Arabidopsis thaliana: one gene and its partners. The protein of the gene in region 1 interacts with the protein of each later gene in a pairwise test. Each region holds a gene or a part of one and is shown on either strand. Other genes may lie near its edges.

Region 1 (8,986 bases):
AGACTCTAGTATTCTTTTCTTTCTTGACATCATTATGGCTCTAGTATTCTTTTAACTAAATAAAATGTCCAGGATTGTAGAATTTCAATTCTAACCTAGAAAAGTAAATTCACACTAAAACGCATTTCTTTGGGCACAGGATAGAGAAGCTAGACATGAAAAGCAAATTAGGGATGGTGTTGGGCCTTTTAATATACACTGGAGGAGCTTTATTGCTCAAAATGTACATATTAGAAAGTCATCAACTGATGAAGAATATATAAAATATTAGACTAATAAAAGAGTAACAGAAATTCATAACCCAAACAATAATGTAGTAGATGGTGGTTTTCTATGTTTTTTGCTTTAGTTGTGGGCTTGAGCGCCGGTTTGCTTGAATCATGTAGTTGATTAGACTCTTAGTGTTCTGCAACTATATATATGGCACCCAGACGGCAAAAGAAAATGTAGTAAAGCGTGTAACAAATAAATAAAAAAATATGAAAAAAATATTATATTGTTGTAGAAAATAGTGACCTATAGGCTATAATAAATCATAAAGTAAAGTAAAGTCGACAAGATATGTTTTGGTAATGAGGAAGACGAAGAACAAGAGAAGTAAATACAATTCGAAACGTTTTAGAGTATGTGAAGATGGAACTAAAGAGTAAAGACACACACAAAAATTGCTTTGTATATCCTTTTTTTTTTTGGATAGTTGTTAAGGTTATATGCCACTATCGTATAATTTTTGTTAGAACTAAACGAATATATCATAAGTAAAGTTTGAGGAATAATTTGCCGTTTACAGGAACTCACACTGTGTGACACATCACACATGGCTACGTGAAAGATTCTCTCAAAAGACACTCACCTCCTGTCAAGAGATCTCTACAGCTAGAAGCTTCTCTCAAAGGTCATAATCAAACAACCGTATTAGAAGATTCAAATGGCATCTTAACCTTTTTTGTACCATATCCACATTGCCAACATTTAGTTCTCGATCACCATCAAGAGGTCCCAATAATCTAGTACAATACAGCTGAATGGCTTGAGCTGAAGAAGGTATCTGATTCGAATCATGGTTAGATAAAACCTACAAGTACCTTGTTATTTAGCACATTAATTGAAAGTAATATATATTCTCACCGTAAATGATCACTACATTGAGTGATCATTGGTTTACTTTCTAAAAGTTTTAGATTATTTATCAATATTGTTTCATTTATTTCGTTTTTCTTACAACAAATAACAGATTAATTAGACGAAACCATTTTCTACTATTCAGCTCTCCAAAGAATGACCTGGTCCCATTTTCTTAATTGACTGTCGAAGTGCCAACGAAAACACACCACACTAATGTCTTTTATCTATCGATGTTTATTTGAAAAACATAATACTGTATTTATTTTCTCACTTAGAGGCGTTCAGAGTCTCCCTCTCCACTACTGGAAGTCAGAGATTGTGGGAGTGAATAGTTTATGGATAAAAATTTTTCTCAAATCAAATACGTTTTTCAGTTGTGCGATCTATGATATATTTTGGTGGGAGTGAATAGGTTTTGGATATGACAGATACACATTTTACTCGTGGGTGGGGTATTTAGCTTACACTTATATAGACATGATAACTATACAGTACATGGCATTTCACTGGATTTGGGAAATTTACTGTTAAATCATATTAATGGTTTGCTCTATTACGTGAGTTTTACCTTCTGAATATTATAGTTGGAGACAAAACTTTAATGCTTTTAAAAGTATAATTGGGAAAATCTTTTTTCTTGCAAAATTAAAACATTTTATTTGGCAGGTGGCAACAAGTTTATTGTCAATTAGCTTCAGGATGTGTGATAACAAAAAAACTTCAAATGTAGCCTTGCCATAAGCTTCACCGCTTATGGTTTTCGTTGATGATTTAATCCTCGAATGTCTATGCTTTCATGTTTTTTACAAAAATTTCTCGGACCAATTAAATCCTAAACTTTCATTTTTTGAAATGATATTTACAGTTCTTATATTCAAAAAAAAAATCAACTATGTGACCAGTGGAAGAAACATTATTCATGTGTTATTTGAATGTCTTTCAATATAAAGTTGGGTAATTTGTTTTGATGCAAGTAGTAGTAAAGTTTATTTTTTATTTTTTTATTATGTGGTTAATCTGGAAGTATGGAACCAAAAAAAAAAAAAAATAAGGAGGTCATCTGAAACCATCGGAGTTTGGTTGATAAAACTTTTCTAAAAAAAACTGTATTTTTTATAGTTTATTATGACATTACGAACATATTTTAATTTTAATTTTTTGCTGTTTGGCTCCAATTGGGCTTATAAAATCTGGTATTTACGAAAAAGGAAATCTAATTATCTTATCATCAGTAAGCTTACATATTAATAAATCTTAAACAGAAAAGAATTTGGTGTACTTGTCAATTTACAATGTGTCGTATACCTTATAAGTTTATAGAGATAGTGAAAGTATGTTTTAAATTATAATTTTGCTTCTTTTTGGGGGAAATATTAATTCAATTGTTCGGTACAAAGGCAACTTTGCTTTCATTTGATGAAATGATTGGGTTTTATCCATTTCTTTAATTTTTGTTAAAATGATTACACTGAACTCGTAATTAACAACGTGAGCAAAACAACAATTTTTAATTCGATTAGTGCTACATATATAGTCGATAAATATAATAAGAAAAGTTGACGACAAACTCAGTTATGGACCGGGGTGGGTAGCTTATTAGTGAAGCTGTTGTGTTATAAACTTATAGTACTGTTTTAAATTTAGAAGAGTATTTGTATGAGATTTAGTTGTATAAGAAAAGAAAAAACTAATTTTCATATTATTAATTTAATTTTATGTCTTTAATTACCATTATTTAGTCGTGACTTAAATAAATCTAACATATTGAGAAATTAATTATAATTTTTTGACACCACTAAACTTTACTGAGTAGTGGTGTTAGTTTTATATTTCCTAGTATTTAGTTGTATTTTTTTTTTTGTAGTTTGACATACCCGTATATCATTTACCTAATAGTTAATATCTTTAGAAATATATACTATTAGCATGCCCCCGCATAGTTTATAACAAATATATAGTTAATAACTTAATACATATAGAAACATCATTCATATGTGGTATATACATCATCACAGTTACATATAAATATATATATATATATATATATTACTAATCCCTTCCACCGAGAAAAACAGTATATTCTATACCTACAATTTCAAAAAACAAATGTTTCATATAACTTTACTTAATAGTTTTTTTTTTTTTTCTGTTAAAGAACTTTACTTAGTAGTTCTATAATTTGTTTCATAGTTAAAAAAGAATTCAATACCTACTCGTTCTTTAAATATTTTCATTGTTTTTTGTTGTTTTAGAAAGAAATGGGCTCCAACTCAACATCCATGTTATTTATAAATATATCCACCTCTAGTCTTAATATTTCACTACTCAAACAAGTTTCTGAAGAAGAGACAGAGAGAGAAGGATAGAGTAAAAGCTAAGAGAGAGAGCGAGACTGAGAGAGAAAGAAAGAGATATCATTTTGGTTATTAAGTAATTAACTTATACTAATCATGGGTTTTATCGATGGAAAGTGGGCACCAATGATAGTCTTAATTGTTTCTAACATGATTGCGGGAATGGTTAATGCTTTAGTTAAGAAAGTTCTTGATGGAGGCATCAATCATATGGTTATTGCTACTTATCGTTTGGGTATATCTACTCTTTTCCTTCTTCCAGTCGCTTATTTTTGGGAACGGTACGTTTACTACTTCTTCTTTGATTTTTATTTTCGTAGCTTTCAGATTTTTATACATTTCGTTATGCCTTAATAAAATAATAAAATATTTAAAAGTTTGTGGCAGTGTTTTTAAAAAAATTGAATTTTGGTTACTATGTTGTGAAAATACAAGAAGACACAAATATCACGTTTGATGCTTCATCTCTATCTTTTTTTTTCTGGCTAATTACTTTATTTAATTTATTTTATTTCATAAGATAAAAGAATATTAACTTGAAAACAATAAAGAGTATATACTAGAGAGTTTCATGAATGTTTTTCTATGTACGGATATAGAATCAGAATTGTGTGTGCCTAACAAAATAAATATTCGATTTCATGATTTGTTCAGGAAAACAAGACCAAAGCTAACTCTAAGCATCTCATGTCAGCTTTTCGTCAGTGCCCTTTTTGGGTAAGTTTCGGTTTTAATCCACTAAATCCTTATGTTTTTCTATTCTCTCCCTCTTTATTGCTTTTTTTGTATGTTTATGTAAGATGTTATTTTTTTTTGTTTTTGATAAAATGAAATATAATCGTTTATCATAAATCTTTCTTTTTCAGGGCGAGCTTGATGCAATATTTCTACTTGCTTGGACTGTCCTACACGTCTGCAACGCTGGGATCTGCTTTCTGGGCCATAATGCCTTCCCTCACTTTCGTTATGGCTTTAATATTTGGGTACAATTATTGTTAAAATAAAGAAAAGTGCCATATACGCTATCATCTCAAGTGTAATCTTACACCTTTTTATTTTGAAAAAATAAAATTTGCAGGTTCGAAAAGCTAAGTTTGAAAACAAAAATAGGATACGGTGTCGTTCTTGGAACTTTGATAAGCTTAGTAGGAGGTTTACTTCTTACTATGTATCAAGGGATTCCATTAACAAACTCTCCAGAACAAGCAGCAAATTCAAATAACCACACAGGACATGAGAATTGGATCAAAGGTTGTTTCTTTTTATTGACCGGAGTTGTTCTTTTCAGTTCTTGGATGCTTATACAAGCCAAGATCAACGTGAAATACCCTTGTCCATACTCGAGTACCGTTATTTTGTCGGTCTTTGGTACGCTTCAATGCGCCCTTCTTAGTTTAATTAAGACTAGACATTTGGAAGATTGGATCCTTAGAGATGAGCTTACCATCATCACCGTCGTTATAGCGGTATATAAGACAATGTTTCGTCAGACATATAAATAATTTGGATCCACACAATAATCAGATATTGATCTATTGTTAATATATGTTTATAGGGAGTGGTTGCACAAGGTATGTGTACGGTGGGCATGTCGTGGTGTATCAAACAACAAGGACCTGTCGTTTCCTCATCATTTAGTCCTGTCGTGCTTATGTCTGCAACCGTGTTCGATTTCTTGATTCTTCATCGTGAGATTTATTTGGGAAGGTATATTATTAAAAATCTAACTGTATTAACTTTATATTTTAACTATATAAACCTCTTGAATATATTATATCATGTGCATGTTATGGACTAAACTTTTATTATTGTTGTAGCGTTATTGGATCTGTGGTGGTTGTGATCGGTTTATATATATTTCTATGGAGTAGGAGTAAGCAAATAGTAGAGTGTAAGATCATGAAGTTGCCTACCAATACGGTGGAAGAAGAAAAGGAAGAGGAAGGCCGTACAAATGTTAACAACGGTCAACTTTTGGTTATTCCGATGACTCCTTGATCTACTTCCCTAAACACGCTTGTTCAACAAGAATCATGACCGATATGTCTTCAAAAAATGAAATATGAAGAAGAGAAGATAACGATCGTTTTCATTGTTTATTGGACTATTTCATACTTTTATTGGACAATTTCGTACTTGTGTTGCAACGTTTAGTTTTTTTGGGGATTTTAATTCCTACGGGATTCATTTGGATACTGTAATTTGTTTATGTGAATAAACAGTGTCGAAAAACAGAAATAAACAGTATCGAATATAACCTTAATTGACAGAACAAATTATTCAATCTGCATCTTTTTACGTAAAAAATAAATAACGTAAAATAATAATAGTTGAAAAACTAAAGTTTACAATAGATTCTTGTGAGCTTTCAATACCTTTATTTGGTTTCTTTTACTCAATACCTAAGTTTCAACATAATTCGATTCTCGATTTCTCGTGGATGGTGTGACATACTTTGACGTCCTTATTGATGAGAGTCATATTAGTAAACGGTCGATTACGTACTCCGAATTTATGGAAATTATTTCAATGTTCTTTCTTTTTTTTATCAAATTATTTCAATGTTTTTGTTCTGTAAATATGACTATTATTGCAAATGTTAACAAACACGAATAGTTATTTATTTCCTAAAAGGCGAGTACAGGGTATGTTGGGCTACTATGACATCTTCGTACTTTATTTTTTTCATGTTTTATATACTTTATTAAATATTTCTTTTTTGTTTATAAATCATTACCCACCAGAAAAAGAAATCGCTATTGCTTTGCTTTTTCTTTACAATACTGCTGAGGAGATGGCACACGAAAGGAGTGAAAGCTCAATCACTTCAAAAAGATTTTTAGGATCCAAACACATAATATGCAAATATATATGATGAAGCAGTCACCAAATCAGGAACTATATATAGTAATAAATACTCAGTATATATAAATGTCGCATCGTTATACACGACAAGGGGTCTCTACCAAAGTGCTCGCTCTAAAGCATGGTTTTTTCTTCTTTGTTTTAAAGTTCCTTAACAAATTAAGAATAAAAATCATTTTTAAAGTCTTGTTCACCTGTTCTCTTCACTTGCTTAGCAGCCTCGCATTCAACAACTAAGAGTCTTCCTTGCTTTCGTCACTTTCAACTCCATACATCAAACAAAATCGCCTAGGACTCTGAGATGTCCAAACTCAAATATTCGAAAAATTAATTTACGTAATTAGTGTAAATTTTTTAAAATCTCCGTTACATTTTCAAAGTCACGCCAGTTTTTTTTTTTTCCCCGAGATGTTTCCGGCGTTTTCTTCATTAATTCCTCATTCCACCATAACCATTTATGTGCTTAGTGTTTTGTTACTTTCTTTTTTTTTTGTCATCTTCAGAAAAGCTCCGTTACCGGGAATGGAACCCGGGTCTCCTGGGTGAAAGCCAGATATCCTAACCGCTGAGTGTTTAAGTTACCTTCTGTTTTGTCATGTTTTTTTTTTTTTTGACTAAAATGATGTCAAGATAACTAATGGCTACTGAGATATTATTGTAAAACTACTAGTCTAATAACACCCACAACGACACTTTGGAATGTGTAATCATGACGAGCTTCTTTTCCACGTCATTCTTATTGAATGAATTCACAAATCATGGATATTTTATTTTGCTTTAGAATATTTTTTTATTTAACTTTAAGTTTTGTACCTGATCTATTTTGACTATACATTTAATGCATAAATATTTTAAATCAAGATTCACGTTAAGTTTCAAATTCTACATTTGTTGCGTGAAATCCGTGACTAGAAAAAAACATGTTATATAAATTTATCACATACTACCAATAAATATTAATGAGCTGAATTTTAATCTTATGTATTGTACATGCTTGATTGTTTGACCGTGGAATTTATATAGCAGCCATAATTACGGAATTCGTGTGCTTTATACAAAAACGGTTAAAATAAAACATAAACTAATGAAAAAGACGATAATTATGGTGATAAAATATGTTTGAAATTGTCTCGTGGTTATTTACTTCGTTGGCTGCGTTTGCTTAATTATATTTAATGGCTTCGCATTTTTGCATGGCGAACCCCACGACAGTTTCTTATCTTTTAGCAAGAAAGCATGAACACATGTCAGAATCACCTAGAATACGATTTCGACCGCTTAATTCATGCATAACATATATATTTAAAAAGTAATTAAAGTCGAAAATCCATTATATGTAGTCATTTTAATATATAAAGTAACAACACGTAAAAAGTGGTGATGGTTATTGAAACTCTTTATTGACCAAACGACTCCGTTACTGATCACTGATCAATGACATCAAAATAATTGAGCTTTTCCTCAGCCACATCAATATTATTGAATTTACGACATAAAATATCATGCATGTTTTGTTTATATATATTGTCTTTCTATAAAGTTCTCCCTAGTTCAATTCCTGGTGGAGCGGATGTTTTACGTCTTTATAAGATTTTAGCAAAGACTGATCCTGGGCCATGGAGAAGATTAACGCTTAAACCCAAACTCCTTCTAGTTATAAAAAACAAATAAATCTAAAATGTATATACTTTTAGTTATCTTTTGAGATACTAATCGTAATTCAATTTCACTGACTGCTTACGGTTAAGCACTACAAATATATTAATCGTAATTCATTTTTACTGAATGCTTACGCTTAAGCACTACAAATTTCATTGGTCCCTAAAGTCCGGTTTACCAACTATATATGTAGTTATATATTGCTCACTTTGTTTTTTTGTAAATTTTCTTTTGCTCACCTTTTGATAATACTATTGTAAAATAGTTATGAGATCTTTTTAAAAATGGAAAGAACAAGCAAGTTGATTTATTAATACAATTCCAACTCAAGTTAGTGGATTAGAAAGTATTTGCAAATGGACAAGATCGAAAACATATATTTCACGAAAAGAGAAATGGATCAGTATTCTATAAACGAAATGCGTCAAAAAGCTTGGTCATATTGAAGTTTTGGTCGTTTATCTTGAAAGAGACAATCAAAGAAAGCAAAACCGATTTGTTACAGGAAACAAAAAAACGTATGACGTAACTATGAATCAATTATTTTTAAAAACAATATAAAGAAATGGATTTAAATTTAATTAACTATAAAGCTATAGATAAGGTAGATTTTGCATGATTGAACCAATGCTTTGTCTCGACATAAGATAATCAATCGTTGGATTAATGGACGAGGCACCAAGTGTTACTTGTATAAAAATGATAAAATCAGGGGCATTGCCATTCCGACATATATATACAATGTCATAAGTATTTTCTGCATTCAATTTTTTTTAAGAAACTAGCTAAAACGGTGGCTAATATTTGGTAAAGTTCCAATGCAAAAGGATTCTAAAACATTATAAAATTGAACAGACGAAATTTTTTTTTTATTAATACTGAATCAAATATTAGAAAAAAATTTATATAATCACATCATTTTGTGATTAAGAATTTTTTATAGTTAAAAATCAATGGTATTAATATATTTTTATTAACTTTTA
Region 2 (8,125 bases), on another chromosome or scaffold:
AAGAGAGGGTTCGAAGTCTGTTGTGACTAAAGTCATAACACGTGAGGCGAGCTGACTAAAGTCATAACACGTGAGGCGAGCTGACTAAGGTCATAACAAGCTTGAGGGCGTTTTGGTCTTTTCGCATGAGCTCTGTAACTATATCTTCTTCTTCTTCTCTGTAATTCTGTTAGATCGGAGATAGAGAAAGAGAGAGAATTGTAATCAAGTTCTAGAGAGAACTAGAGAGAGAAAACTTGTAAAGATACATTGTAAAGAAAGGTTCTAGTGGATTTCCGGAGAGATTCTCCGGCGAGACGTAGCGATTCCGGTTGAGGAACGTGAACTCGTTAAATCGTGTGTGTCTTTGTTTCTTTAAGTTAGGCGCCGGTAGCACCGGTACTAACAAAATTACATATTTGTAACAATATATATATATATACACACATACATTTTAGAATAGTAAATTCTTTATATGAATATATATGATGCTTAAATGTGTATATATATATGGTTATATATAGGAGGAGCTTGTGGTTTCGCAGTGGCTAATCCACCATTATACGGGATGGTTTCAGCTGGAGGTCCTTCAGTGTTCAACAATGGAATAGGATGTGGAACATGTTTTCAGGTTTGTATGAATGTATATAGGGCAAGACTCAAGAGCATAGTGTTACGTATGTAACACAGAATTTATGCCCTTTTGGTCAGCTTTGTTAATGCTTTTTAGGTAATATATTAGTTAGAATAGTATTTTCAGAAAAGATGATACAATTTTATATATATGTAGCTAAGATTGTTCATAAAACGTAAAAAAAAATTGTGTAATTATATTCAATAAAATGACCAGTTCATATGTCTTTTTTAATTAATCAGAATGAACATTAAAAATTTGGGTTGGAAAAAAAATTGACATAGCATGCAAGATCTGAATGTATGTTATATGGTTACAACAAGATTTTACTTTCATCAACTATATAGTATATGTTAACATTTTTATTTATCAGATTCTATGCAATGGGCATCCAGCATGCTCGAGGAGACCAATAACGGTGACGATAACCGACGAATGCCCTGGTGGTCCTTGTGCCTCTGAACCAGCCCACTTTGATCTTAGCGGCAAAGCCATGGGTGCCTTAGCCAGACCTGGCCAAGGCGATCGACTTCGATCGGCTGGTGTTCTACGTGTTTACTACAGACGGTACTTATATACTTACATAATTTTTGTTTTAAAATTTTTCCTTTTAGTATGTATATCTAGGTTTTGAGTTGAATTTTTTTTTTTTGATAAATCAAAGAAATCAATGTTTTCATTTTTGTTATTATCTTTACAGAAATATTATTTAATTAAAATTCAACTATTTTCTATGATATACGAATCAAAATATTGACTATTGTTTTTTGATCAGCGTGGAATGTTTATATCGAAGAACTAACATAGCTTTCCGTATGGACCCTGGAGCAAATCCGTACTACATTTCATTTGTTGTCGAGTATGAAAACGGTGATGGAGATTTGGCCTATATAGAAATTCAACCAGCCGACGGAGAATTCATCCCCATGCAAGAAATGAGGTCTGCTGTATGGAAGATCAGCTCTGGCAGTCCTCTAACAGGACCATTCAACATCAGACTTACTTCTGCTGAATCTCATAAAGTAGTCCTAGCTTATAATGTTATTCCGGCGAATTGGAAACCTAATGAAACTTACCGTTCAGTTGTGAACTTTAAGTAGAGTTTTCTTTGTCAAATTTGAAATCCGACACATTTCATTGTTTTTCTCTAGTCAAACTACAATATACAAATCTTTTTTTTTTTGGCCAAATAATATACAAAGCTTATGATATAGTAACGAATAATAGAAAGATATATGACTTACCACCAATATGAGCGCATATATTATATTTTTTGCCATTCTCTAAATCTTTTTTCATCAAAAGAAAAATTATCGACATTATGCTCATTCTCTAGCCAGTGTTACAATACCTTTCAAAGGTAGCCTTCCTCCTGAAACTGGTTGTACAACTACAAAGACTTCGGTTTGGTATATAACTTGAACTAGGAATTTGTTTCTTTGTACTTTTGATTCAGGACCTTACTTCATGAGGATAGTTCTCAAATTGTTACAGAGGACTGTCACAAGTTAAGTACATGAATCTTCTTTGTGTAAGTTCTTTTAGCGTTTCTTTTCTACATGTCTCTCTCTTCTCGCAAAAATTCAGTTTGTTCTATATATCTATGTCTCTTTATTATCTCTTTCATGTTGCTTGGAATGTCTTACCATAAGGTTTATTTATTGAGTTTGGTCTTTGCTTTAGAATACCAGAAGTAATTGTTGGAACAAGTAAATCTAATGCAAATTTGAATTCATAACTAAGATCTTGGAGTTACCTCCAATTTAAGTTGTAAGTAGTTAAAACTGAATTTTGGAGTCTACCTTCAACCAATTGTTTGCTTAAAAGAAGGTAAGGTGGAGTGGTGGACATGCTCTGGTTTTAAAAACTTACAACTACTATACTTTGAATTCCACCTATGTACATAGTATTGTATACTTTAATATATTAATTTAAACCAACAGTTTATTATACAACAAAGGTCTGAGACACAATAATGTACTTTAGAGGAGAACTATATATGAGTATGTGACTATATCTGACAAAATTCCCTCTGTATATCTCGATATTAATTATATAAAAAAAAACGGATCTATAACCTAAGACGAAATTTGCAACTACTACTTTGAATCTTAATAACATTATTGGTAGCCAAGCTATCAACAAATACACCACATCTGACCAAGAATCTTACTTCGAAGAGCTTCAACTTCCCAAATTTGACCCGAACCGGTTGGTTTACTCTAATTCTCAATGGTATATTCCCGGTTCTTTGTTGTTGCTCTTCTAATGTCGTCCTTAAACCCGATGCATTTTGTGTTTGACCAGTCATTTCTACGTATATCACTGTCGTATTTTCATGTCCTTGGTAAAATTTTGGCAACGACCCTATTCAAAAAAATCACAAAAGTTCAATGAAGTTAAATCTATAAGAAGACCCGGTTTGAAATGGTGTAAACGAATTATAATCAAACAAGAAAACCAAACAACATAAATAAATATGTTTAGTTTTGGGGTTTTCAGTCCGGATAAACCGGTATGATCCAACTCTACCAAAAACGATTGATTTGAATGAATTAACTCTATTATATCCGAACTATTGAATATGAACCGAACAAAAACTATCTAAACCAAATTTTGTTTGAAACTAAAGATATACAGTATTTGACAATCCTAATCCAAAATGAAAGTAAACCCAAAGCCAACCAAAAAAATTTAGACATCCCTAATTTGAAAAGAGTTTTAAAGTCTTCCTTGTGTACGAACCAAACCAAAGGAAAAGAACAGAAATCAACCAAATAAACCGGTTTTGTAGTGAGATTTTGAAGCCTTCCTACGTTAAAAAACCAAAAGAAAGCAAACCGGAGTAAACCAAAAGTGACGTACCATTGCTTAGTTGATGTTCCATGTACCACACGGTAATCTTGCTCCCATCTTCATAATAAATTCCAATCTTCTCGTTCGGATTCTTAGCGGTTATAGTCACGTTAAAAGCCGTAGTCAAACTCGAGTCTTGGTTCAGTGCAAACCGGGTGAGCTGTAACCGGTCAATAGAGTAATCCGGTAGCTTCGGTTTAAAGACAAGGTATAGTATACCAATGGATGCGCCTACTGCAACGACAAGAAGCAAAAGAAAGCAGAACGTGTAGCAAAAGCATCTGCAACAACAACTTCTTCTCTTCTTTGGAGGAGCCAACGGCACGAACCGTTGTGGCCTTTGGTTCAAAGGGACTTTGGATGGGTCTCCATGTTCTGATCTAGAGGAACCACGAGGAACCAAAGGAGCTGTTGGACGCGCTGTTGCGGCTTCTGGATCTTGGACCGGATAGATTTTTTGGTGTTGAGACATTTTTGGAAAATCTTGATGACACCAAGAAGAAGAAGAAGCTTTGTTTGTAGATCTTATTTAGGGGTTTGGGAAATTAATATAAGTAGGGACCTTATGGAGTTTTTAAAGTCAAGAGGGAAGAACTTTTCAATGGAGAGACTTCTCTATATGAACCTATAGATTATGAAAAACAAGTACATTCGCTTCCATACAACACATCACACGTGTAATGTGAATTTGCGTGTCTGCTTAGGTAGCGGTCTTTTATGGAAATTGAGTTTGATGTGAACCCATCAAATAAAAAAAATAAAAATCATTAGTAGGTATCAAATTACTTGCAATATAGATGGAAAAATTAGGATGACTTTTTGGAAAATACATATATTGTAGTCCTATACATTATCAAACAACTAAAAGTTATATCCACTTAAGATATTTTCCAATTACTATTTGTTTCTTTTTATTTCCTATAATTTTTTCTATTTACTCTTTTGCTCTTTCATGTTTACTCTTCTTGATTTATTTATATTTCATATATAAATGGTACTTAATCTACAAAATAAAATTTCATATATTTACGCCTCGCATTGTCTTTGAGAAAATACAAGTTTTTAATATTTAGATCGCATATAGTTTGACTAATAGGTACATTATAAAGTCAAAATACATTTGATGAAGATCTACTTTACTTTTGTTGACCTAATCCCCTAAGACTTATGCAGCAGTGTTCTCATGCATTTCGTCATGAATTTTTTTTCTTTTACTTTTTTGTTAACATGCTTTATTTTATTATTTTTTTTGCAAATAAAATTCCATTCGAAATCCCTAGGCCCCAACGATGTTAATTTATTTGTAGTGTTTCTGTTTAATATTAATCGTTATCAACGAAAAATTTTTAGAACGCAATTCTTTTGTTCTTCATATTAATAACCAAAAATCAAAAGCTTCTGATAACACTTACTATGAAAAATTTCAAGAAATAAATCACTTAATATGAAGAATATTACATTGGAATCGTAAAAGAAGACCCAAGACTCCGATGAAATCAGAAGTGTTTGGTTTTGGCGAGTTATTACCAAAACCAACGACTTGTATGATGCGACTATGGGAGAATGACATATTAAGTTAATATCTATATTGTTGTCTTATAGAAAATGTATGATGCTTCTAAGTTTTAAATACGGCCATTTGTTGATGTTGATAGATTTGATGATGTATATAATCCTTCTAGATGAAATTGCAACGACATTATAATTTGTAAGATACCAGAAACTAATTCCTCTTTTTTTTTTCTTTTGCAATTTGAATATCTATAAAATTTTGGTTAACAATAAAAGTTTTTTTTCTAATCAAAGAATTTGTGGTCTAGTAGCAAACCTAGGTCCGTCCAAAAGATTGTATGATTTAAGTTTCCGACCAAAACGTTTAAGACATAAAATATCATATAGCTTTTGTCCTTAGGATACACAAATAAGACAACTCCAGACATCAAAACAAACTATCCAAATTGTTTACAATCAAATCTTCTCTTTGTTTTTAGGCTTTGAATGAGAGAATTAGATTTTCTCACCATAACTATATTCAATCAATGCACTACGGGTTTCAACGGATGGGCTCTCAGCTTCGAAAAATCCAGACTAGCATCAAGCTCCTCGTCCAGCTCCCCGATAACACCTCTGATCAAAGATGACACCATTTTTTTTATTGAAACAAAAAAACAATTGCAATGTTAGAAAATCACTGATGATGATGGATGATAAGAATTACATGTTGTCCCCTCTGATGATGTACAAACCCAACACATGTTGTTGTACTCCTTCCTGCAAAGATGAAGACATAGTAAGAGGTCTCAATCCTAATTCCAATATCCATCATTTTAACAGAACTCTGCCTTCACACCAAAAATATCCAAGAACATTTGTCTAATGAAGTATCAACATGACCTGACATACTCTTAGTGTAAACAAGAAAACAGACATGAATCAAACCTTTAACCCTCTTACGAAAAAAAGGAGGTGATCATGTATAATTAATTACACACTGCCAATATCTACGTATTTGACTTACCTATCACTAGCTAAATCTTTTGACATATGAACTCACAAGATTTTTTCAATCAGTTATAACACTCGAAGAATACTAACACTAAATCTGTTTCGGTGTATCCAACACTATCTGATTTAGATACTTCCATTCAGAGGCCAGTTAGTTCATGATTCACTATTCTCTTACCAAACAAAGAACTGTAGGACAAGGCCTATCTTAAATATCTGAGTAAGTTTCCTCAATATTCTGTTGAAAAGATGACACTACGCAACTAAATCAAGCAATGTACATTATTAGCAAGAACGTAGTACCAATTAAAAGATCAATACCAGACGACGAAAGATGCTTTGAGTGACAATGAACAAAAGATAAACTAGCATCCTTATAGTACCTCTATTTTTCTAGTTTTATGCGATCACTACAAACAAAATATGGAGACATCGAGAACTCTGCTACATCATAGCCACTCATGGATACAAACCAACAAGGTTTTGCAGGTCATACACTGGCCAATTTACTTGCAGAAAAATGTATTTGCACCCATTCAATTTAGTAACATCGAAAAGTTCAGATGAAAATACTTTAAAACAGGAATCAGAAGCTAACCTTTGTGGAAAACACACGTTCATGAGATTCATCAAGGATTATATTTGTAGCCTGGTCAAAACCTTTAAGAACTCCCTGAAAAAATATAAAAATCGATCTCTTTACTAAGATACTTGCATTGACATAAGGAGTTCTAAACCAGATATCACACAAGAGAGTATAACATACCACAATGTTGCGTCCGTCATTTGTAATCACCGAAATAATCTCTGCAGCAACCAATCAAAAGATAAGATCTTTAGACAATTCATGTGACAGAACATCACATATCAATCGAGAATGGCAAAAAAAAAGACTAACTTACGATCGACGAGAGTCTCAAGTCCAGTAGTTGCCGCCATGTTACAGTTCGGAAATTATTTGAACTGAAAGGTTACTAAAAATTAGACTAGGAATTTCATCGAACACTTGGTGTGCTTACGGATAACAATGAAAAATTAATAGATTTCGTATCCATCTCAACGAGAGATTTCACCAAACTTAACATAAATCCAGAATTACGAGAAACAAATGATAATTCCAGTGTAATTTGACCTAAATTAAAAGAAACCACCGAATAGAAAACGAATGTAAAACAGGTTCTGGTTCACCGGAGGGTTTCAAGGAATTCAGAAGAAGAAACGTATGAGGGAAAAGCTCTAACCTTTGCTGCTTCGGAATCTGAAAATCGTTACTTGGCGGAGATTCTGATTGGTAAAGAAACCCTAAAAACCTTTTCGTCACTGTTGTTCTTAGAAAACTCTCCGGCGTGTGTTTTTGCTTTTGGATGTTGCTTTTAACTACGAAATGTTAAAAGAAATACTCAAACCGAACCGAACATTTTATCCGGTTTAGTTATTTTATCCGAAACCGACAATTCTGAAAATTTTCACCTGAACCGAACTGTTTAATCCACCAAGTATGCATGGTTCGGGGTTCAGATCGGATTCAGTTTAGATTTTTTGGATTCATCCGATACAAAAATTTAGTATATATTTGGGTTCTATGATTATTTGGTTCGGTTTTTGGAAAAAACTACATATTTTTTCAAAATTTTAATAAAAATTGAATTACAAAAAATATATAATTTTGTCATTTAGTTTAGGTATAATACTAAGAATTTTCGGATATTTTGGATATATATAATATATCTAAGATATTTTTGGATATTTTTGTTAATTGGTTAAGGTATAATTATAATTTAAAACATCTAATAATTTTGAATATGTAGATATTGTTTCGATTTTTCAGATATACTGTTTGGTTTTTGTTTCTGTTCGGGTTCAGTTGGGATAATTCGTGTAAAATTATTTAAAAGTCTCTCCGGTTATATGATTATTTGGTTTGGTTTCGGGTCCGATACAGGTTTTTTGGGTTTTATGCCAGACTGAAGATAAGAAGAAGATTCATTGAAATTGTCAAATTGACATCTGAATTACAAAATAAACCAAACAAAGGAAACAACAATAGACAAACAAAACAACAATTTCTCCATATTAAACCGCAACAACACGAGTTTCTGTTATTGCTAAAAGTGAATCTCCCTAGTCACGTAACATTGTTGCTACCAGATG
Region 3 (7,357 bases), on another chromosome or scaffold:
TTTCTTAAATAATTCGAGCTGTCAAACTAAGTTCTAATTTAAACTTATTTCAATCCATTGTTGATTAAAATTTTGATATATTTATAGAAAATCCATTTTCTTAATAAAAAGGAGTTGACTAGGTTTTTTAATGCTGGCCCAAGAGGCCAACAGAAAGGAAAGTCCACTTTTGTGCTTATTATAAATTTACTGAAACAAATATCAAAATAGTAGGTATAAAACATTTCAAAAACTCTACACCAATTGATATACGACATTTTTTTCCAGTTAAAAATGCTAATTATAGCCGAATACAATACAAATTGTAATCCACCAATTAATGTTATATACATGAATTCTTCATTGTATTAAAAAAATGAATCTTCACTTTATCTAGTTGAAAACTTAATGCAAACTAACGAGCAATGGGTTAAATGAAATGACTCATCAGACGTTGGGCCATCGTGGGCTTGGAGTAAACTGAAAATGGAATATCAATGTTAAACAAATTTCTCGATTACTAGAATAATAAACACCAAAAAAGTTTAGTGAGTAAAACATTTTTTTTTTCTTTCTGTCTAACTTACTATTTTTTCGAACAGAGCATATAGCTTTTACTATTTTTGCCAGCAAAGGATGGCCTGTCTCTCATAAAGTTATTTTACGGCCTAAAATGTCAACGTATTGTAACAGGAGTTGTTAATGTACCCTAAACCTTATAGGTAAAAGAAATGAATGAGAGAGATTAAATAATCTTCTCCGAAGAACATTAATATGTGCCACGTGGCGCTATCTGCTGAAACGCGGCACAGTTAATTACTGTACTTGGAACCATAAAACAAAAAAAGCCTGTTATTAATTAAATAATTTTTTGAAAAAACATTCGACAACAAAGCGCGTGGAGTTAAAACGTGGGACCCACAATGACGTCCTTTTTGTTTTCCTCACCTCATTTGAAAATATTTCCAAAACGGTGAGTAATTTTGCCGTCGTCTAACACCGACGTCACCCGTAAGGCGATTGGTGACAGCTACAAAAATGTTACTATCATCAGACTTATCTTTCAATCAAATATAATCATAATCCAATTTAATCTACCATACCTGTCAAACCATCGAGTAAAAAACGTGTTTGTTGTAGCTAATAAAATTTTTAAGACTAATACTGAAAATTGACAAACTAGAAAGATGTTTGGCAGTATGAAAATAATTTTATCAAGAAGTGACATAATCTTTAATCACTCAAATCCATTGCTCCATTAACGCCACGTCAGATCGACGGTGCTTGTTTCCGAACCAACGGACGGTAGATGACAAATTAAAAAGTTGACCATGCTCAAGTGTTTCGTGCCATTACGTGGCGTCTTCTGATACGTTTGTCTTCAACACTAGCCGTACGTTTCTGTTCTCCTCAGGAAGAAACATTTGTCTAGACGTGGCTGGTTTTAATTAGACGCGCTATATGTAATGTACCGTGAACCTTGTCGTAGACGATAACTATACGTTTCTCTCTGAAACAAAGAAAATTAAACAACTTTTTTTGATTACGCGATATAAAAAAAGGCGAAGAAATTAAGCTTTCTCTGTTTGTCACTAAGCTCTCTCTCTCTCCTTCTTCTTCGACTTTTTTTTTTCTTCCTCTCTTCTCTTTGGTTTTTTGGTGTTGGGTTTTATCTGGGTTCCTGATTTCTTCAACGAGGAAGGAAGGAAGAAGAAGAGAAAAGGGACAAGCGAGAATTACTCTTTTCTCCTTCAATTTCCGATGGGTTGTTTCGGATGCAGTAAGAAATCGAGCAAACGATCCGAGACTAACAAAGATACTGTCATAAATAGAAAAATTGTCGGTGGTACTACGAGCGTTGCTAAGAGTGATAAGCGAGACGATCAGACTCAGCCCAGTTCAGGTATCGAGTGATTTTGACTAATTTCGTTATTCTCTCTTCTCCACAAGCTCTCTTTTGGATTTGTTGATTTTTTTTTATCGGATACTTATGTTTAGGTTTTTCTGTATCTGTTACATTTGGGAGAGACATTTAATGGAGATTTTTTGTGATTTTTCCCCGGAGAATTTTGATGCATGTGTACTATTCACCATATAAACGATGTTGGGTTTTTGAAATCGAGCTAGTTTTTTTTGGTTTTGTCTCCTCCATGAGGGGACAAAGTGTCAAAATTGAGCCTTTGGTATCTTGCCGTGTCTGTTTTTGGTTAAGTCACATGATAACTGGTAATCGATTTTGTTACTCGTTCCATGTGTTGTAGATTCAACAAAAGTCAGTCCATATAGAGATGTAAACAATGAAGGAGGAGTTGGTAAGGAAGATCAGTTATCTTTGGATGTGAAGGGTTTGAATCTAAATGACCAAGTCACAGGGAAGAAAGCACAGACTTTTACTTTTCAAGAACTTGCAGAAGCTACGGGAAACTTTAGATCGGATTGTTTTCTTGGTGAAGGAGGTTTCGGAAAAGTTTTCAAGGGAACTATAGAGAAATTGGATCAGGTACTTGTGACAAAGAAAAATCCTATCTGTTTTTATCAATTGGCTGTGAGATTTGTCATAGTTTTGAACGGTTGGTGAAACTTGGTTCTGCTGCTAGGTTGTTGCAATCAAGCAACTTGATCGTAATGGGGTTCAAGGAATCAGGGAATTTGTGGTTGAGGTATTGACTCTAAGTCTTGCTGACCATCCGAATCTTGTGAAGCTTATTGGGTTTTGTGCTGAGGGTGATCAGAGACTACTGGTGTACGAGTATATGCCGCAAGGATCCCTTGAAGATCATCTACATGGTATGTTGTAAGATCAAATTCCTATCCTTTGCCTCTGTATTGTTTGTCTCGCAGCTACCCCCTTTTCTCATCTAACTTTTACATTGTTGTTTTGACTGTTTCAAGTTCTCCCTTCTGGTAAAAAGCCTCTTGACTGGAACACCCGGATGAAAATAGCAGCTGGTGCAGCAAGAGGTTTAGAGTATCTGCATGACAGAATGACGCCCCCTGTGATTTACCGAGATCTTAAATGTTCGAATATTTTGCTTGGTGAAGACTATCAACCGAAACTATCTGACTTTGGGTTGGCTAAAGTAGGACCAAGCGGGGATAAAACCCATGTCTCGACAAGGGTTATGGGAACGTACGGATACTGTGCTCCTGACTACGCTATGACGGGTCAGCTCACATTTAAATCCGATATATACAGTTTTGGAGTAGTCCTTCTCGAGCTTATCACCGGAAGGAAAGCGATTGACAATACAAAAACGCGTAAAGATCAGAATTTGGTTGGATGGGTATGTTTTGTCTCTTGGCTGTGACTCATAATAATCTTTACTGAAACAAGACTCATATTTTCACGGTGCTTTTTAACAGGCACGACCATTGTTCAAAGACAGGAGGAACTTCCCAAAAATGGTTGATCCATTGCTTCAGGGACAATACCCAGTTAGAGGACTGTACCAAGCACTAGCAATATCAGCAATGTGCGTTCAAGAGCAGCCTACCATGAGACCAGTGGTATCTGATGTAGTATTGGCTCTCAACTTCTTAGCCTCTTCTAAATATGATCCGAATAGCCCTAGCAGCAGCAGCGGGAAGAACCCTTCTTTTCACAGAGACAGAGATGATGAAGAGAAAAGACCACACCTCGTCAAGGAAACTGAATGTGAAGGGTCCTCATAGGATATCCAATAAGAGAGTGGTAAAAAATCAAATCTAATTTTGGCTTCACCAAGAAATTGGGGAAAAATATAAAACCAACTCAGGTACATTTTTAACATCTATTGTGGATGTAAATCTTGACTCGGCTTCTTTGTATGTAGAATGTTTCTGTTCTGTAGAAAAGGAAAAAAAAAAAAAACCATTTTGTTTTGGGACATATATACATATATTGAACAAAAACAAATATCGTTGGTCATATATATATTTTCCCGATCAAAAAGTCTGGTAAATTAGGATTAAGTAATGTCTAAAAATTCATAATGATGAATGGCAAAAGTCGTAAATATGTAATAGAAATAGGACTATGATCACGTGATGCAACTTATCCCGCGTGAACCCGTTAAGATTTTTGCCGTTAAATAACCAAAACCTAATCCAAGAAGGCTTCACAAATCTCTTCTCTCTTATCTCTCTCTACTGGTTTTGTGATTCTTGGAAGAGAAGCTACAAGATAAGACAACAATGGCGGAAAGATCATTCTCTCAGCTCCCGATCTCTTCTTCTCACATTGGCAGAAGGACAGGAAACACCCGGAGAGGGATATTTCCGGTATCGGAGTATTGGATCCATGCAATTCCGGTGATCGTTTTTCTCTGTTTCTTCACCCTCTGGATTTTCTCCCACTCAGGTTCCTTATTTCTCCGATTCTTTAATCTAAGAAAAGATTTTCCCGAGAAAATGAGTCTTTCTGATTTTGGTTTTGGTTACAGTGAGCGTCATGAACGATGGAGAGATAATGTCGATACATCGTCTTGAGAAATCCATGGCCGTGAGAAACGAGTCTCATGTCAGTTTAGCGATTCTTGCTTCCTCTGCTGTTTCACCAGCCTCCTCAGCTCTCGTCGCCGTCGTCTCTACCAATCAGAATCTCACAACTTTTCACAACGCAACTCAATCGCAGCAAAATGCAACCCAGTCGGTGAACAAAGCAAAACAGCCACACGCAGTCTAATCTCTGAACGGAGAAAAGTTTCTTTCAGTTTCTTACTGATTTCTTTCATGAACAGATAACTTTCAGGGATTGAATTTTTCTTTTCTTTGTATTTGCTTCAGTTGAAACAATAGTTTTTGATTTAGGATTGAGAATTGTTTGTGAACGACGATACACAGAATGTTTTCAACAAATTGCATAGTCATTTGAAGAAATCTTTAGTGAGTATATATCTGAATCTTGTTAATGCTGCTGAGGATGTTCAAGCTCACTGATCTCTCCATCTGCGCAATTTCCGACCCAAATATACATCGTTTGGTTTCTCCTACTCGGCAATACTCTGCAACAATCCCTCCTCGGTGACTGCACCAAACACACAATTTTAACATCATGTTATTTCAACACCGGTTTATTATATGATCTCAGCCGGTTATCTCTGTCAATTCACTAGCCAAAACCAAACCGGTATGACTATATTTGATGCAAGTTGTTAATAATGAAGCAAAGAGAAGATGTGGACCAACCTTGTGCCATCGGAGGGGATCAGGTCGCTTGAGAACGACGACTGAATCGATCTTTCCAGGCGAATCGAGCCTCCATCGGCACCCGGGAATCCGCCTTGTCTTGTCCAAGTTGTAGTATCCAATCACTTGGCGACGTCCTTCATCATACTTAGCCGAGTTTAAGTAAAACACAAATGGTCTTTGGCACGGATGCCTCGACACTGGTCTCGTGTTAAACGCGTAACCAATGTAGTCGGCTTTGCGGAACCAGTTGAGGAATGTTCTTGAAGGCATCTCAAGTTCGCGAGGGGATATGATGCCTCGGATTATCTGGACTACGAAACCCCATGAGACCGAGATGGACCAGAACCGGTTCTGGTCGTAGCAGATGGACTGCTGGAATATGCTGGCTGGGTCAAGAACTGCTGAAGACATCAAGTGTCGTAGTGCACGTGACCGCTTCATCTTTGGGAATATCGGCTGCACCACATCGATGTGGTGCAGCGACACCAAGGGAGCCACTGGGTGTGCACCTAATAACCCCAATAAGTCCCCATAAACATCGTACTGCATACATAGAAACATTAAAATTAGACGTATTCAATCCAGATAAACCGTTCTAATCCGAACCGAAACCAAACCGAAGTAATTAAACATCGAGGAAACGTAGAAAATGACACCTGGTGAAAGCCAGGTTCTTTGGTGAGGGGTACACCAAGTTCAGTCATACAAGCTTGGATGCGATCATCACTGCCGTAGAGACCAGGATACCGTTGGATGCAACGGTCCTGCATCCGCAAGAGCTCGAGGGCTAGAGCATAGCTGATGGCGAACCCACCGCCTCCAAATGCCATTGAATATGAGAAGAAGATGTTCTGAACGTGAGCCTCCGAGGAGCTACCAACGTAGTAGAACTGAGTGTGGTCGTACTTTGAAAGGACGTTTACCACATTGTCCACCACAAACACTGTGTCGTCGTCTCCCATCACGAACCACCGTACACCTTTTTTGCCTAGCCGAAGCGTCTCCGTCACTACTCGAGATATCCTCACCGCTGATCTGTCCCCTACTGGATGGGTGTACCTAAAACATGACTTCTTGATTTGAATAAGAGATTTCTTGTAAAACACGTCAGATATTGTAGAGATGAGTAAGTACCTGAACCGTGAGGTGTCTTGGGAGATTCTGATTTCTGGAAGGGGATCGTTTCGGTAAGTTCTGACTCTCTTGTCAATCCAGACAACGCCACGAGTTTTACCAGGTCGCCACCATGATTTGATGTACTCTTTTCTCGTCTCCCACAGAACAGAGGACGCGGCAATCCCGAAAACGATGTGATCAAGCGTCGTGTTGAACATCCTTGGTCGCTGCGGGTAAAGAGCGGGGACACGTGGAGGCACATCGTCGTCTTCTTCCTCGGGAACAACAGAGGAAGATGAGTTTGCTTTGTCGACTAGGGACAGGTGGCTGTAGGTAGAAGAAGAGGGACGGCAGGTCTTGCGTGAGCCACCTCCTCCGGTTGTAGAGATGAGAAGCAAAGGGAGGAAGAAGAGGAAGATGAAGAGCCATGGCAGAGGAGATCTTAAGAAGCTTAGGTGAGAGGTCCGAGCAGAGTTGCTGTGGTTTTGTGCTTGGTTTCTTTGGTGGTGATGATCTTCTAGAAGTATGTTCTTAGGGTTGCTGAGATTGGTGTTAGAGCTCGAACTGTTTCCCATCGCTAATGGGAATAGAAAAGAAATAGATCGACACTACTTTGTTTTGTTTGTTTGTTTTCAATCAGATTTGGTGACATCTCTTTTTATAAATGATAACGAAGTTTCAGTAGTAACAGGCTAAATTTAGCTAAAGAGAAAAGGTCTCTTCCTAATTTTACTGCAAGAGCATGACCATGAACCAATACTAAAACTGATAACAAGTTCTCACATTCACCACTTTCAACATTTAATCATAAAAGCAAATCGAAAATTTGTATCTTTTTCATGGCAACAAAATTGGTGCACTGAAGCAGCTAAAGGAACCACTGGTGTATCCATATCAGTGCCTTGTCTGCGAAAATTGAACAATACATTGTCAAACACAAAAGAAACTGAAAAACAAAAACAAAAAAAGGCAGAATATTTGAGAAAAAAATAGTAGAATAAGAAAAAAGTTACCTTTCTTTTCTTGAATGGCCCTCCCCTTTTATTACGGCCGAAGCTTCTTGGCTTTTCACCATCCTTATCCAAGAACTTGA
Region 4 (8,876 bases), on another chromosome or scaffold:
TTCTCTGATGAGTTCAGCTGATGCTGCTTTGTCACCATCTCTCAGATGTGCCCTGATAAGCGTATTATATGTACCACTATCTGGAAGAGGCCCTTCTTCTTTCATTTCTCTAAACAAGGCATCTGCTTCTTCCTTTAAACCTTTCCTACAAAATCCTGACATCATTGTTGTGTAGGTTACAACATTAGGCTTCACTCCTTTAAGGCTGAGGCTACAAAATAGATCCCACCCATCTTCCACCTTCCCTGCCTTGCACATCCCTTCAATCATAATATTATATGTGTAAATATCAGGTTCCATTTTACTCCTTTGCAGATACTCAAACACCACCAATGCTGTCTCTACCTTCCCATTATTACAAAGCCCATCTAATAAAATGCTGTATGTCATAATATCGGGAAGCACACCATCAGAAACCATCTGTTTGAAAACTATTTGGGCATTATCACACTCTCTAGCTTGAAAAAATCCATGGATAAGAGTGGTGTAAGTGACTGTGTTGCCAACCAATCCTCTTTGAGACATCTCGCGGAAGAGTTCCATACCTTCGTCTACTCTCTTAGCCTTACAAAATCCCTTTATAAGAGTATTGTAAGTCACTACGTTTGGGAAACAGTCCTTGCTAATCATCAACTCAAACATGTGCTTGGCCTCGTCTAAACGATCGTGCATACAAAACCCATTGATCAGTGAACTATAAGTGAAAATATCAGGATCTATAGACCTTTTGATCATCTCGTCGTACAATTTCTCAGCCTCTACAAGCTTCCCCTCCTTCACAAATGCATCAATCAATGCGCTGAAAGTGACTACATTTGGATTGATTTTCCTCTCAATCATATCACTGAGTAGTCGAGAAGCATCACTCCATCTTCCGTAATTACAAAGGCATCTTATGAGGGAGTTGTAGGTAACAACATTTGGTCTAATTCCTTTGTTATCCATTTCAGTGAACAGATTGAGTGCATCATTCACGTTTTTGTAGTTGCAAAGAGCATCAATGATAGTGTTGTAGATCACAACACCAGGCTCTATTTTCCCTTGTTCCATCTTCTTTAACAAACTCAAAGCCAAATCAATATCACCTCTCTTACATAATCCATTTACTACAATACCATAAGTAACCAGATCTGGTTGACAACCTTTCACAACCATCCGGTCAACTAAAGCCACTGCTTCTGAAGCTCTGTTGTGGCGAAAAAGTCCATGAATTAGAGTGTTGAATGTGAATGAATCGGGCTGATATCCCATTTCCACCATCTGACCAACAAGAGATACGGCATCTGAAATCCTATTCCCGTGACAGAAACCATTGAGCAGAGAGTTAAGCGTGACAATATCGGGCTCATAGCCGAGTTTCATCATCTTGGCAAGAACAGCTAAAGCAAGAGAGAGCTGAGAGCGTCGGCAGAAACAGTTGATGAGAATACTGTATGTGTAAAGATTATGTGAAATTCCCAAATTTTGCATCTGCTCGCCGAGAGAGATGACAAGATCGAACTTGTTCATCTTAGCAATGGCACTCAACAGTTTACTGAACTCAACAATCGAAGGGAAAGGACGAGACTTGACCATGTCACCGAACAGATTAACCGCATCATCTAGCTTCAAATCATTTAGCCTATTTATCGATATTTTTCTGTAATCATATCTAACACCAGAGAAATCTCGTACCCAGAAACTGCAATGGCTAAAGGAAGGAGGAGCAGTTCCACATTTACCTTTTCCGAGAAGACTCCGATGAACAAATCTGTTTCCCGTCGATGAAATCGCAAACAATCTCCTCATCTTCAGCTGATTGGGGTTTCTTCCAAAATCACTGATTCAGAATCGTAAACTCTCTGTAAACTTGTATAAACCCTAAATGATGAACCTTTTGCAGACAGAGAGAGTAAAGGTTTGAACTTTTGGTTCTACCAAACCAAACAGAGAGAGAGACTCACATAGGCTGAGAGAGTGAGAGTGATATTCATCCAGTTTCGCACCACCGTTGGATCATTTGACCGGTCAAGATTTCATCTTATCATTTTTATCACCGGTTTGGTTTATAATCACATAATGTATTTTTTTTTGGTTTAGTTCTAAATTGAAAGGCCAGCATTAGCAAATAAATATGAAAAAAACAAAGAAGATTATCAAGTTTTGCTATTTTGGTTCCATATTTGTCTAACTATATTTCCTTCATTTTTTTTTTTATTGCTGAGATGTCCCTTTCTAATTAAGGTGAAACCGCGTGGACCTTACCAATTTATATCTTGGATTGTAAAGATCTATATCTGTTTGGTTCCACTTGTATATGATACAATGATACAATACAAGTTTGGTCATTATCATTTTTTCTAATCATATGTCAACAAAACCAAAGTATGCATTCATTTTGCAAAATATACACATCTATTTGTATCACCTCCCAAACATTTCTCCCATTATACGGACTTGGACAAGTATTCATACCTCTGCAAAAGTCTTATTGATAAATGAATGTGAAAGTACATACAATTGGTTTAGAACATTAAACACGAGTTTGGTTTGGACACATGGCTTTCATATACTCCTTAGTGATAAATTATGGTTAATTATAACCATCTTTGAAGTTTATTCTAATATTTTATTTATTAATTTCATTGATATGGTTTCAAACGTCAAGGAATATTAAACCTTTTACGAAAAAATTTCGGGTGGATCATATAATATCTTCCCTTCAATCCTCAAAGTTCTCGAACTCTACCAATACCTACAAGGCTACAAAAATTTATACACCATTGAAATATGCTGCAACGAAGTCCATTTAAGGCCTGATGATAAATTCCTTGGAGATCGACAATAATATCCAAGCGATTGTTAGTGAGATTATAGAGTTAGTCTTTGTTGGATTCAATAGTTTGTTCCACAATGTAAAAGTCGACTATTCTAAAGAAGCCCTTGGCAACTTATTAAATCTTATAAATAGTTAAATATCGAGACCGTAGAACCTTTTGCTATATATAGTTTTTCGTCAGAAAAAAAAAGTCTTCATGCTAGAGAAAAAAAAGTTTAACTTATAAATACCATGCTATAATTAAAACAAAATAACACGTACTACAAATAGTACTAGCTTATATTTTCTCTCTTTTTTAATAATTAATTTTCTAAAAAAATACATATCTTAAGAAAATATTATTAAAATTAATTATGAATATATTATTTTTTGTGTTTTATATTTTTTTATAATTAAAAATCAATAATATTTAATTATTTATCTTGAAATTTGATATTCATCAATAATATCTAATTAATATTGCAAAAAAATCTAGAAATCCATCTTTTAAAAACACTTTTTTGTATAAAAAAAAATAAAAAAATAAAACCCTTTTTGTAAAAAATTCAATTAAGAAAAAATAAAAGGAGTATATGTTTTATCTTCTCTTTTTACTTTAACAAAATACCTTGTTTTTTTGTTGTTTTCAAGTTATATATTTTGTAATCTTGTCGCAGGTCTGAGTTGTTTTTTGCACTCAGAAAAGAAACTTGTACTAAAACCTAGGAGAGGAGGAGCTGGCACCACCGCCTAACTCGCCATTGACACAACACCAAAAACTCTTCTTTACTTTTTGTTATTCTACACACATCGATAAAGATTAAGAACATAATTAATAGAATTCCATAAATAATTAGATGCACTAACTTTTCAACATCAATTCAACGGTTTAAATTCGTGAAAAAGCGTTTTTATTTTATTTTAATGGTTACAACTTTGTAGTTTTTACCCTAAATCTCTCTCTGATTACTGATACTCTGTCTCAATCTCTTCTTTCTTCTAATCCTTTATTTCTTGTAAGCTACTTCTCCTGAATTTCGTATTTGATCCGTTTAATCCAAGTTTCGATTTTATATAACAACCACATAGACAGAGAGAGAGAGAGAGAGAAACAGAGTAATGGCGAACAGAGATGTGGAGAGAGTAGGGAAGAAAAACAGAGGAGCTAATAACAATTATTTCTACGAGGAGTCTTCTGGTGAAACTCATTGGACTTCATGGCTGATTCCGGCGATTGTAGTGGCAAATCTCGCTGTCTTTATCGCTGTTATGTTCGTTAATGATTGTCCTAAGAAAATCACCGGACCTAACAAAGAGTGTGTTGCTAGATTCCTCGGAAGATTCTCGTTTCAACCACTTAAAGAGAATCCTCTCTTTGGTCCTTCTTCTTCAACGTAAGTATTACTTTAAAGTTGGAGATTCATGTTTCATCTTCTGGGTATCTCCAAAGTCTCAAACTTTTTGGGAGTCCAATTCGCAATTGAATTTGATCACTATTGTCTGTTCTTATGGAAATTGAGCTCAAAGTTTTCATTTTTCTGCAGTAATTAAGATTACCCAATTAGTGCCTTACTGATAACGTCAATGAATTTGTAGTTGAAGCTCGAGATTCTAGAATTTGTTAATCTAAGTTACTGGCAAACAAGTTTGATCTTTTGGGTACCTAAAACGTCTCAATTTTTTTTGTTTTCAACAAACTGAAAAAGTCTCAATTTTTGTGTTTTCAACTTGGCAATTGAATTTGATCTTTATTGTCTGTTAGTGGCTTGGAACATGAGCTCAAACTTGTAGGGTTTCTCAAAGTTTTTATTTTTCTCCTGGAATTATGTATTTAGCTTGGTTTGGAATTATGATTTGTAAATTTCATTGGCAATTATTGTAGTGATGGTGTTTGTGATTGATTTGGTTTTACTCGGATATGTACTTGTATCAGATTGGAGAAAATGGGAGCATTGGAATGGAGGAAAGTAGTACATGAACATCAAGGATGGAGACTTCTCTCTTGTATGTGGCTTCACGCTGGTATCATTCATCTTCTTACAAACATGTTGAGTTTGATCTTCATTGGTATCCGCCTTGAGCAGCAATTTGGCTTCAGTAAGTCTTACCTTTACGTGTACAAGAATTATTGTTCAGTCAAGTTTTAGACTCTCTTTGTTTAATCGCCAAGTGAAACATTTGATCTTTATCGCGGGAATGTTACTGTGCAGTAAGAGTCGGGTTGATATACTTAATATCGGGTCTCGGTGGAAGCATACTTTCGTCGCTTTTCCTTCAAGAAAGTATCTCTGTTGGTGCTTCGGGTGCTCTCTTTGGACTTCTTGGAGCAATGTTATCTGAACTTCTTACCAATTGGACTATCTATGCCAACAAGGTACTTATGCCCTTTTCGCTATACGCGCCTTAACCGGAACTTAGGATTAACGGCTTCTTTTGGCAGGCGGCTGCTCTGATCACACTTCTGTTCATCATCGCAATCAACTTAGCATTAGGCATGCTTCCTCGGGTTGACAACTTTGCACACATTGGAGGGTTTTTAACCGGATTCTGCCTCGGGTTTGTCCTCCTTGTCCGACCTCAGTACGGTTGGGAAGCTTCCCGCACCAACACTTCGCGAACCAAACGAAAGTATAGCATGTACCAGTACGTGCTGTTTGTAGTTTCAGTGGTGCTACTTGTGGTTGGGCTAACGGTTGCATTAGTGATGCTTTTCAAAGGAGAGAATGGGAACAAACATTGCAAATGGTGTCATTACCTTAGCTGTTTCCCAACTTCTAAATGGACCTGCTAATCATCATCATCATCATCATAATCATATAGTAAAAGCTTTTATATGTGTTCTTGTTAACATTTAATCTCTTTGATCTCTCTAGCCTTTGATTATTTATATATGTGTACATTACCAAATTCGTCTTGTGTAAAAGGGGATAGAAATAAAAGAGTGTATTATTTTTACATTTGAACACCATATTTCTCAAACTGTCTTTAAGTACATAAATAGTAAACAATTTTATTAATGTAAAACATAAGCTGTAATTGGAAATAAATTCCTTTAATTTGGTTATAGTACACACTTTATAGTATCCATCTTAGGTCTTGTAGATTATTATTCTTCCTTTGCTTCAAATTCTTCTTTCTCTAGATCTCTTTCTTCTTGAGTTTAACATGATAGCCATTTGGAAATTGCAATCCAGGAGTTCGAAGTATATTTCCTCCACTAGTTTCTTCCCATCTGATGAAATCCAAGAAACAAAATTACAAAATCAAGAACCATTAGTTGTCTTAACTTAACAGATGAAAAAGGAGTAGTTTCAAACTGTATTTTGTGACTGAGCTATGAAGGAAAACTGCAGTTTGAAGTTTGAACTTTGCTGAAGTCAGCTCCGATACACAACCGCATTCCATCACCAAACGCCATGAAATTCCATCACCACACGCCATCAATACAATATATAATACCAAGATATGCAATCATGCATACATCAGCTTCATGCAATATATGCATAATTTTTAGGAGATTTCAGATGTCACAAGATCGAATTGAACATATATTTTCAACAGTGTGAAATACAGTTATACGGTTAGGGTCTGATTTTTGTTTTTGGTACCACGTGGGTTTTACAAGTTTTTATGATATTACAAATAAATTAATAATGCATCACACTTCATTTATTGTGAATGGGTGACTTTTAAGAAAACAATGACCAAACACCACCCAATAACCTTCCTGCACTGTGTCATTTAGGCCTTAATGGTGCAGTGGATAAGGATAAAGTACGGGACATAGACAATGCCTTTAATCATCCACCATTCACAAATGATAATACCTTGTATACATGCGATGTAACTTCAAATATAGGGATGATTGTGTGCTTTGCGGATCAAAACAAGAACTTTAAAACCTCTCGGTAAAAAGTACAAATTAATGGTTACTCTAAACGGAAAGGCACAGGAGATTTGTTATTTATATGATGTTCTCAAACAAAGAAAAGCTACTCACACAAATCACATGTTGCCAACTTTAAGCTAAAGACCCAACTCTTTTCTTTACGTGTAACAGAAAAGTGGCGCAATGACCTTCAATGGCTTAGCTCTTGACTTCTCGATGGTTTGAGTTTGATCTCTTCAGCGCCCTGTCATGGTTTAGCATTGCGCTTACGCTCTCAACCACGAAAACGATCTGTAAAGAAAAGCAGAAACCCGTATGCGGGTTTTAGTCAAGATAACCCAAAACTACAACATTCTTTGATCAATAACTGATGATCTCATCATCCTCTGCTTGATATCATCAAATTTTGTACTATATGAGTATCAACTCCCAACTACTGAATAGAATAATGAATTTTGAAATGGATCCAGGCCTATATTTTACCTGAAAGCACGCGTAGCCGATAGCGTTTCCAAAGTAGAAATTTGCATTTCCGGTTCCCTGTCATGAAAAAATCAAAGGTAGTTGTGATCATTAGAACATTTTGTTGCAACTGCTGTGAAGAGTTGGGTTATGGATTTGAGTAGAAGCTTACCCGCCATATCCAGAGATTGTGCATCACAGGGCTGAGGAGAGAGATCCCGAGATATCCACAGAAGAGGAAGAACGAGAACTTCATATCTATGTGAAACAGAAGCAGAGTTTATATGCAAAGGCTAAACAATGCTAAGAGGATGTGAAGTATTTGCTTTTACCTAATAACTCATTGACAAACAATGCCCATAAGCTCAAGTATAACGCCGAATCTCCGACCTATTGAGAGTAAATCAAATGATGAAAGCATTGTTAACATTTATGAATATAATTCCTCAAAGAAGAAAAGATAACTTCAAGTTCACAGTGAATTCAACTACTTACTGAAGGATAAGATTTAAGAATCGAGGAGATCGCTAAGTATATGAAAGCCAGGAAACATGGCCGATGTTTCAACCTTATGGCTAAGGGCAGTAACATGAACAGAATATTTACGTGTAAAACTATCAGAAAAAAGTTTCTGAAGAAGTCGAATACTTCTGCAAAGAAGTACCTGAAAACGAGATTTAAAACGAACAGTAAATAGTCTTTTCATAAAAGAAGGGATCCCTTATTCATCACCCAATGATATCACCATATTAATTTATTTTACTTACCAAAAGACTCCAATGTTTGGTGAAAGATCTTCAATACTAAGAATGAAACCATACGTCCTACAATAGGAGGCAAAGACAAACAAACATCAAATCGCCTAAACACTACGTTGCAAGTTCTTAATAAATAATTATATGATTTGGAATATAAGTTATAGATATAATATGGCTAACGGAAACTAATCCTATAGCGGTTATGAATAAGATTTCTAAGTTAGAGGCTACCTCTTGAACATCTCCTCAAGCCCACCATATTTATTCAGTGATAAGGCACATAAAATCAACACATAGAGTGACCACAGAAGTACCCAGAACAAGAAGTGTGCGACTGTTTTCCATAAGAAAGGAAGGTGCGTAGTCTGTTTCAACTTGGCTTGTTTAGAAACAGTAGAGGTTGAACTCTCCTCATTTTCTACACTTCTGGTCTGAAGGAACAATTTTATAGGAGGAGCATCCAAACCATATCCCAATAGAAAGATTATCTGTGGGAAATGCACGAGCAGTTAGAATTTGTTTAATTTGAGAAACGTGAAAAACATAAAATAAGAAATGATACATACTGGAATTGTCAGAGTAGCAGGATAAAGAGATAAATGTGTGGCAATGACTAAGCCAAATGCTGCCAGAGGAACTCGTCCTGCATGGGTAGAAAACATCAGTTATAAAATTTCAAGAAACTATTGAACAAACAATATGCAAGTATCATCATCTTCTTACGTGTAACTGCTCCAAAAAGCGCCAATATGACAGCCAGGTTTTCGATGGGAGAAGTTGATAAGCCCACACAAGAAACTATCGTGAAAGGATTCCACAAATACACAAGAGCAGCAATATCACCACAAGGTAGGATCACTGAGGAGACAACGAAAAAGGAGAGATCAATATTTGCCTTCAAGTAAATAGTTACAAGAAAAGAGTAGAAATAAGATAGATGATACACAAAATTCAACAACTGACTTCAATC

Evidence for each region.
Region 2: the proteins of UMAMIT30 (region 1) and AT1G65690 interact in a protein complementation assay, tested with the Arabidopsis thaliana proteins (one large-scale study listed by BioGRID).
Region 3: the proteins of UMAMIT30 (region 1) and AT1G07860 interact in a protein complementation assay, tested with the Arabidopsis thaliana proteins (one large-scale study listed by BioGRID).
Region 4: the proteins of UMAMIT30 (region 1) and RBL2 interact in a protein complementation assay, tested with the Arabidopsis thaliana proteins (one large-scale study listed by BioGRID).

Annotation. Positions count from the first base shown.
Region 1 is NC_003075.7:605,011-613,996, forward strand, and holds UMAMIT30 (nodulin MtN21 /EamA-like transporter family protein), read left to right. Parts: upstream 1-3,262; 5' UTR 3,263-3,575; coding exon 3,576-3,760; intron 3,761-4,133; coding exon 4,134-4,196; intron 4,197-4,345; coding exon 4,346-4,462; intron 4,463-4,557; coding exon 4,558-4,945; coding exon of another isoform or gene 4,946-4,981; exon of another isoform or gene 4,982-5,034; coding exon 5,035-5,186; intron 5,187-5,296; coding exon 5,297-5,477; 3' UTR 5,478-5,755; downstream 5,756-8,986.
Region 2 is NC_003070.9:24,428,958-24,437,082, forward strand, and holds AT1G65690 (Late embryogenesis abundant (LEA) hydroxyproline-rich glycoprotein family), read right to left. Parts: upstream 4,209-8,125; 5' UTR 3,942-4,208; coding exon 3,479-3,941; intron 2,981-3,478; coding exon 2,685-2,980; 3' UTR 2,460-2,684; downstream 1-2,459. Other genes in the region: EXPB6 (beta expansin 6), read left to right, coding at 360-378, 504-610, 987-1,180, 1,389-1,713; LSM8 (Small nuclear ribonucleoprotein family protein), read right to left, coding at 5,506-5,596, 5,688-5,740, 5,820-5,871, 6,153-6,229, 6,573-6,647, 6,741-6,781, 6,877-6,913; AT1G65710 (serine/arginine repetitive matrix-like protein), read right to left, coding at 8,100-8,125. UniProt on the Arabidopsis thaliana protein: Plays an important role in the abiotic stresses-induced abscisic acid (ABA) signaling and biosynthesis. Acts as a positive regulator of ABA-mediated seed germination inhibition. Functions downstream of ABF2/AREB1, ABF4/AREB2 and ABF3.
Region 3 is NC_003070.9:2,426,227-2,433,583, reverse strand, and holds AT1G07860 (Serine/Threonine-kinase RLCKVII protein), read left to right. Parts: upstream 1-4,152; coding exon 4,153-4,318; intron 4,319-4,358; exon of another isoform or gene 4,359-4,400; coding exon 4,401-4,642; 3' UTR 4,643-4,673; downstream 4,674-7,357. Other genes in the region: AT1G07870 (Protein kinase superfamily protein), read left to right, coding at 1,741-1,882, 2,241-2,479, 2,577-2,766, 2,872-3,263, 3,343-3,641, 4,206-4,318, 4,401-4,642; AT1G07850 (transferring glycosyl group transferase (DUF604)), read right to left, coding at 4,865-4,984, 5,146-5,691, 5,805-6,207, 6,283-6,839; AT1G07840 (Sas10/Utp3/C1D family), read right to left, coding at 7,159-7,170, 7,278-7,357.
Region 4 is NC_003070.9:23,405,766-23,414,641, reverse strand, and holds RBL2 (RHOMBOID-like 2), read left to right. Parts: upstream 1-3,502; 5' UTR 3,503-3,916; coding exon 3,917-4,191; intron 4,192-4,730; coding exon 4,731-4,894; intron 4,895-5,007; coding exon 5,008-5,171; intron 5,172-5,237; coding exon 5,238-5,588; 3' UTR 5,589-5,838; downstream 5,839-8,876. Other genes in the region: AT1G63130 (Tetratricopeptide repeat (TPR)-like superfamily protein), read right to left, coding at 1-1,788; AT1G63110 (GPI transamidase subunit PIG-U), read right to left, coding at 6,885-6,977, 7,170-7,226, 7,321-7,406, 7,481-7,538, 7,644-7,812, 7,916-7,972, 8,138-8,394, 8,473-8,549 and 1 more. UniProt on the Arabidopsis thaliana protein: Rhomboid-type serine protease that catalyzes intramembrane proteolysis. Can cleave the Drosophila proteins Spitz and Keren. May function in pollen elongation.